2 linked regions of the Daphnia pulex genome follow. The protein of the gene in region 2 interacts with the protein of the main gene of each other region in a pairwise test. Links are inferred from orthologs where the notes say so. Each region holds a gene or a part of one and is shown on either strand. Other genes may lie near its edges.

What was found. The genes of interacting proteins can lie anywhere in the genome.
Region 1: the proteins of rac GTPase-activating protein 1-like (region 2) and protein ECT2-like interact in a two-hybrid assay, tested with the Drosophila melanogaster proteins (2 studies listed by BioGRID). The link is inferred for Daphnia pulex from reciprocal best matches to the Drosophila melanogaster genes tum and pbl.

The regions. Positions count from the first base shown.
Region 1 is NC_060024.1:8,173,656-8,177,369, reverse strand, and holds the start of protein ECT2-like, read right to left. Parts: upstream 2,819-3,714; 5' UTR 2,624-2,818; coding exon 2,512-2,623; intron 2,447-2,511; coding exon 2,379-2,446; intron 2,321-2,378; coding exon 2,057-2,320; intron 1,987-2,056; coding exon 1,774-1,986; intron 1,713-1,773; coding exon 1,566-1,712; intron 1,508-1,565; coding exon 1,373-1,507; intron 1,315-1,372; coding exon 1,164-1,314; intron 1,096-1,163; coding exon 872-1,095; intron 810-871; coding exon 621-809; intron 556-620; coding exon 187-555; intron 87-186; coding exon 1-86.
Region 2 is NC_060028.1:9,420,802-9,424,559, reverse strand, and holds the start of rac GTPase-activating protein 1-like, read left to right. Parts: upstream 1-1,329; 5' UTR 1,330-1,474; intron 1,475-1,797; 5' UTR 1,798-1,811; coding exon 1,812-1,896; intron 1,897-1,955; coding exon 1,956-2,158; intron 2,159-2,230; coding exon 2,231-2,557; intron 2,558-2,628; coding exon 2,629-2,833; intron 2,834-2,910; coding exon 2,911-3,130; intron 3,131-3,208; coding exon 3,209-3,482; intron 3,483-3,558; coding exon 3,559-3,758.

The DNA.
Region 1 (3,714 bases), on a different chromosome or scaffold from region 2:
TGCCCACCACGACCAACAATACCATCGCCCAATTCAATAACGTCGCATTGGGATACAAAGCTACGATGGGAAGAAACAATATGTGCCTAAATTTCAATTTGAAATAATGTAAAAATGAGTTGAAATTTAACATCTATTTTAATTAAAAGAAAAATTATTTAAATGACAAAATTTAACGAAGCTTACAGGACAGTTTTCGATGTCGTTGAAAATGTCAAAAAGGACAACTTGACCCTCAGTCCTCCGTTTGTCTTCATTGATGTGCGTCATTACTTCTTTGATCGTGGACAGAGCTTTCTCCAGTTCACCGTAATCCGGATTGCTTTTTGGGGTCTGCTTGAGTAAATCGTTCAAAAGCAAACTAATGGATGGTAGTCGTTGAACAGGACGAATAAGAAGCTCTTGTAGGCTCTGCCGTCGACATTTGGGATTACTCTGACCCAGTTTAAGGAATGCGTGGAAACGTGGCTTCGATCGGTCGCTCATGCTCAACACTTCTTTGGTTTGCTCAAAAAAGTTGACAAAAGGAGGGTAGGCCTTAACCAAGTCATGCGACTACAAAAGTAAAATATACAGTTATGTAAACGAATATGCTGGGTATGCGAAAATTCTTTACTTACATGCTTCAAAATTAAAGCTCCGACGCTGATGTCTTCTCTCCAGTTGAGTGCGGTATTTTTAAGTTGCACAAGTAACTCGAAATGGATTTCATGGATAGGCGGTAGATTGCCAAAAATGATTTTGACCTCCGTGGGATCAAGCAAAGAGCCTCCAACTTGGCTAGGATCCTCAAGTGGCTTTTTGAACACCTAGGGATGAAATGTTGAATTTATATATTGTGGTAAATAACGCGCAATAAATAACACCAAACCTCAACAATTGTCTCCAGTATTTCCACATAATTCATTTCCGTATGCAACAATTCCATGAACACCTGATGTCGAGGGGACATTGCTTTGAGATCCTGTGGTGTAGGAACGGAAATGGTGAGATCACCTTGACCCCCCACTTTCTCGGGACTCGTGGCATCTAGAAACGATCCACTTAGGCTGAGTAAGCCAGATTCACTAATCGAGGAACGGCGGCGATGAGTGTCTATGAATAAACAACATTTTCGTTAGTCATTAAAAGGGGGAAAAACTCCAAGCAATAAACATTTGTACCATGACCAGACGATGGAACTTGAAGTAAGCCAGGCGATCCTCCTTGAGCAGCAAGTTGAGACACTGTGTCTCTCAAGCGTTTACGCTTGCGGTTTCGAGATCCTGGAGTTGTGGGTGACAATACCCCATTCCTTGGGCTCGTCAAATGAGTCTGTAAAAATCCCGGGTTTTTAGAAGCGTTGAGTAAACAAAAGAATATCAATTATTACCTCTTTATAAGGATAAAGTTTTTCACTGGCACAAATATCCATTTGAATTGAAACCCAAAACCATTTAACTTCAACCAACATAGCTTTACTGGGTAGCTTCTCTGGAATGTTTCCAACTCCAAGGGGGTCTATTACCTATTAAAAGGATTTCGTAAAATTCCACCATTGTAAATCTTATTGACATGAAACTTACCACATGCGTGCAGTTAGGATCATCCAATGTAGTTACAGATCCTCCGTTGGTAGTCAAAATTTCGTTCATTTGAGTAACCTCCTCGTCATTAATACCTATCCAGCAAACATTGGTGCCCTCAAAAATCTTGAGTGCGTTGTTCGTTTGCTGCAAAACGGAAAATATTTGATGTGGTAAATAAATTTCAATAATGACAATGAAATAATACCATTGTGGAGTCAATGGCACGAACACTTAGATCGTGACGTTTTTCCCACGCTAAGTGGACCCACGAAGCACTCATAACTGGAATATTGAATGTGACTGCATACTGATATTTCTCTCCTCCAACTTTATTGGCAATAAGGTGGGTGATTTTGTTACAGTCAAATTCCTTTCGAATGCTGCCACCCATGTGATGGATACAAGAGACCAGTGTGTTCTAGTGATGGTAAAACATTATTCCAATTGTTAAATGATTGGAAAATTGCATTTCTTTTAAAGCAACTCACCACTTCCTCTCGATTTCTAAAGCCAGTGAAGCAGGATACTACATTCTCCATTGAAATAGAAAACAATGGCCGATCAAGTTCAGGCATAAAATACTTCTTAGAAACTATGTCAAGCAAAGCTGAGTAGCCCAGAATCCTGCATTCCTTCTTGTACAGAACCTCAAACACTTCATCGGAAAACTCATACAGAACAAACACTGTGTCATGCTGAGGGTTAACAAATTCAAGACCATCTTCTGAATGGAATACTGGTACTCCAAAACTCTAGAAAGTACATTTTTACAAATAACAACTTTGACATTTTAAATGTATAAAAACTTACTTCGGCAGCTTCTTGAACCCCTTTCACATCACACACTCTTCCCACTAAACATATCTTGGATGTAATAACTGAAATATTTACAAAAATATTTAATAGAAGTGACAGTTCTACATGATAGTAAAAATTTTTATACCTGGATGAGAATCCTCTTTATTCCTGCGAGATTTCTTGGACGGGGTTTGTAGAGTAAGGTAATTCATAGAAGCAGACACTGAACCAGACATGTCATACGTTGTCTCCATCATTTTGATTTAAAATAAAATCCACGGGTTGTAACGTTTGAAAATCAAACTCCCAAAATTTTTCTCAACCGTATAACAAACAAGACTGGAGCTCACAATCGAATTTCAAAAAACAATAAGTAGGCGAGCCATTTCTTCGAGTTTATTGTGCAACTGTAAACCACACTGGACTGCCTTGCATAAATGAAAAAGCCGAAATTTCAAATTTCATACAGCGTTGCCAGACAGTTTGCCCGTGTTTATACGAAAATTTTCCATTATCCTACCGCGACTCCGCGACCGTTATAAACACCATCACATCAATGCATACGTGTGTGTTGGTATGCACCTGCGGTAGAGGATCCTTTCTTTATCTCGGTGCTCACCAAACCCTAAGATGATGACAAACACTTTCAGTTTGCACACCTGGTGACTCGCCTGTTGAGGCATATACTTTAATTCCATTATTTTACCTGCTATTTTTAATACTTTAATTTTTTATAATTTAATTTTTAATAATTTCAATCGATTTTCAGAGTTTTCTGTTATAAACTTAAAATGAACAGGCTACACGTTAATCAATTTTAATTATTAATTCAAATTTTCTATAAATTAAAATAATATTTGGAGTCCAAATTTCACCTAATCTAAATAATGTCTTTCGTTCCAGGTTCTGAAAATATTGTATTATCAAACACAAAAAATTTTTATTTCGAGTTCTAATGTTCTAATGTCTCAACATTTTGAAAACAATTCAAAATATTTTTAAAATATTATTTTGAGCCCAATGTCAGGTCATAGATAAAGACGACTGGTTGATTGTCTCCTATCCTTTTAGCCCTATCCCTACTGACCCCGAGTTCTTGGAGTGCTTGTAGTGCCTCTAGCGGATAAAGTACTGTACTGTACCGAGGCTACGAAGGGTTTTGCAGACGAAGATTGTTTTCCTTCTGTCTTGGTAAAATTCTTGGCTGGCGTTTAAAAGTCCTAGGTAATTTTGTCATAACATTTTTATTAAGAAGTCACATTGTATTTAATTTTGACGTTTTTCAATGGCAAAAGCAGAGAAATCAATTAATTCATTGCAATTGAATAGAATTAAGCAGAGTGTAGAG
Region 2 (3,758 bases):
TGTCATATATTGAAAACCCTCTCGCTTGTGTATCTCTTTGGCGTTATAGTCGCTGTGTATACACAGCAACACGATATCCCGCCGAGAAATGAGAGTCTCCTTCCAAAAAATCATTTTTGAATATTTCAAACCCGTCGTCGCGGTGTTGATCTCTTTCGAGTGCGGTTCGCAGCAATTCTTTTCTTGAATGACTTTTGTTCAACACGAAAAAAGAGAAAAAAGAGTCGTGCGATGCTGTGCGACTTCCATCAAGTCAGTCGAAATAAAAAAGGATAGCTAGACTGAAAGCTTCAGAATAAATATTGAACCAGCTAGCAGCATATAGGCGAATGCGCTCTTTTGAATGTAGATGTCTAGGGTAGACAGTGTAAATCCAACATCAAGCATGCAGCACGGCAGCAATATCTGTCGCCTTTCAGAGTTGATGCCGTATATAGTACTACTACTATACTGTGTGCAGCAGCAACCAAACCCAACTCTCCCGGGCGAGTCTGTGTCAGAGATATATAGTATATAGTGTAGAGTTGCTTGGTCCAACTTCAAACGAGAAAAGAGCCCTGGATGGAATATAAGACGACGAAATGGAGAAAGAGAGAGAAAGTATATGTGTCTATGGTCTTGGATGATGGATTATTCGAGTTATGGATGAGGAGGAGGCTATATAGCTCGCGCAAAACTTTCGCTCGACTCCTACTGTACTACTACATTATCGCTTTCATGCATATACAGAACCGTTTCTCTGCTGGGTTTATTTTATGTATATTTTTTTTGCTTCGCAGATGAGCAGTCTCTAATATCTTCTTGGGGAAAAAAAAAGAAATTCCGAGAATGTCAAGAAATATGGTGGACATAAACGGGAGAAAAAGTAGATTTAATGCGATTAATGGCTCATTGGACGATGGAAAGCGCTCGTGGTGGATGAAGGAATATCTGCCAAATCCCCCATTTCCATAATGCGATTGACTTTTATTGCTTACATTTCCATATTCAACATTTTGGGATTTTTCTGGGTTTTTTTTAAAGACGGGAGCATGTCCGCCGCGCATCCATGCCCGGCGGCAGCAAACGTCATGTTTACTCGTGATCGTTATTCATGGAGAATAATATTTCTTATGAATAATTGAAAATAAATATGGAGCCATCGCTATACATATCGATCCAGTATATTTTTGTTGTCGTAAATCTTCACCCTTTTTTTCCAACGTCTTTAAGCTGTAAGCTCCATTACTCTCTAGTTGTCAGGTGGACTAGGCTAGGGGGTGGGGTATTTTAAGGGAGGGGCGAGCATGTATACGGAAAATCGGCAACGCCGCACCCTTCCTCAACGGAACATTTTCAAAAATCCAAGCGTTTTCCCTCGATACTCGTCGTCGGGATGCCAACTGTAAGCCACAAGTGAACCGTTTTACAAGAAAGCTTCAAATTACAACGGGGATTTCTGTTGTCTTCCATCATTAAGAGTGTTTTATTTTTGGTATGTGAACGTTTTTACTTTTTTTTGCTGTTAAAAATTTTTTCTAAAGCATTTTGTGTGTCACTTTTCTTTGGTTTTCAAATCACACCCAAACAAGTGTCAATTGTAGTGGTGTTCCAAACTGTCTTATTTTCTGGTTGTCAACAGTTAGAAAGAGTCTTAAACATTTTATTTAAGGGTTTGATTGAACTTATTGAGATATTTAAACATTTTTAGTTTTAATTATTGAAAATTGTATAATTAAAAATTTGTTGATGTGTTGTTTCGCCAAACTTCAAACTGGTCCCCCGTTGTGGCATTGACATTAATGGATTCTTATTTAGGTTTTCCCCTAGCCATGTCTGCCAAGCAGGTATCTGTGTTGGCTCAGTATGATGACCTGTGCAGAGGCTTCAATTACTTTGTCAACAGTTCTGAAAAAGGTAAATTGCTCAAGACAATGTGTGGCAATCATTGCATTTGACACTTTCCTTCTTTTTAGAATTCCTCAAGTTTGCCGTTAATCAGGAAGCTTGCCGCCAGAAATGGCTCGAAGCTGAAGCAGAGCTCAAACGTCTGCACAATCAGTTGAATGAAGTCAACAAAATGAATGGCAAATTAGAGCTGCAATACCACCATGCTACTGTTTTGCTGAAAAATGAGATCAAAGTCAGAAAGCAAGTGTCTGACGAGAAAAAGTCTTTGGTATGTTATCTGCAACATTATTATCACTCTTTAATGTTTACCATCAATGTCTCGTCTGCACTTGTTTTACAGGAAAAGCAATTGCACGTTGTACGTGAAATCGTGTCAGCTGAGAAAGATATTCGAGATGAGACACGTGAAAAGCTGGCGATGCTCAGCAACACAGGACGCTACTCGCGTGGCAATTTCGATTCGCCTGGTGACCGATTAAACACAATCAACGAGCTCAACAGCACCGGCTCGCTCTTGGCGTCATTCGACCTGACCACTGAACGCACAGAGGAAGAACTCGAGCTCTCAGTGATGCGTTCCAGTCGGGCACCTCGAGGTAAAAGGACATCGGAAGGAATGTACAATCTCGACAACTCGAAACGATACAAGGCGTCGTCTAATCGCGAGGTACAGTTCAAAGTTTCCCTCGTTTCTGTGACATTAGTTACCAACTCTCTTTTCTTTGTTTGCATTTAAAGAATATCATGGAAGTGTCCGGTCACGAACGCGTGGTTGCCACAACGACAGTGACTGTATCCAAGGGAGGTCCAATCACAGCCACATCTATTATTGAAAACCATCCCGATATGGGCAGGGAAAACGATATCAGCAATGCAACACCTAAAAACCAAAGAAAGCGCAGTTCTAGCGAACCGGGAATCCTACCGAACGCTCCTCCGCAGTGTAAGAGATAAATTGTCTTGATTGCCTGGCCACAACAATGGGAACAACAGCTAATTAATTGTTTGTTGACAAACTAGATTTGATCGAATCATCTTGGGAACTTCCAGATGGCAAGACTCCCGTGGCCATCCGCCGTCCGAGTGCTAATCCGTCGGCTTCAGCGCACTCGACCCACACGCTTGGCGGAACTGCGTACTTGCGCACTATGGCTTCTGGTGGGCGAATCAATCAGCGCCAGCACACCTTCAGCCAGAAAACCATCATCAAACCAGAGAACTGCCTCCCTTGTGGCAACAGGTGAGGAGTGTTGTATTTTCTTTGCGTTGGGAAACGTGCTGGGCTTTAATTTAATTAGTGAAACCTCTTATTGCGCAGGATTAAATTTGGCAAGCCCGCCTTGAAGTGTGTCGAATGTAGAGGAACTTGTCACGTTGATTGCAAGTCCCGCATGCCCATGCCTTGCGTCCCGACTGTTCAAACACCCTCTAATAAGGGATTCGTCGGAACCGTTGCTGATTACGCTCCCAACATCTCTCCTATGATCCCCGGCATTGTCATTCACTGCGTCAACGAAATTGAGCGCCGCGGATTGACAGAGGTTGGCATCTATCGTGTCAACGGTTCCGAAAAGGAAATTAAAGACATGAAGGTAATTTCATCACTAGGAATCGAACCCCAAATTTGATCAGTCCCAAATGACAGCCCTTTGATTTATTCAATTTCAGGAGCGCCTCTTGCGTGGCAAAGGCCAGCCGACTTTGTCTCAAATTGATATTCACGTTGTCACTGGCACGTTGAAGCTGTTTTTCCGCTCGCTGAAAGAGCCACTCATTACCTACACGCTGTGGGACAGTTTCGTTCGGATCGCCGAACTTGCCGATGAAATGGATATTCAGACCACTGTGTACTCGCTCGTTCCCGATCT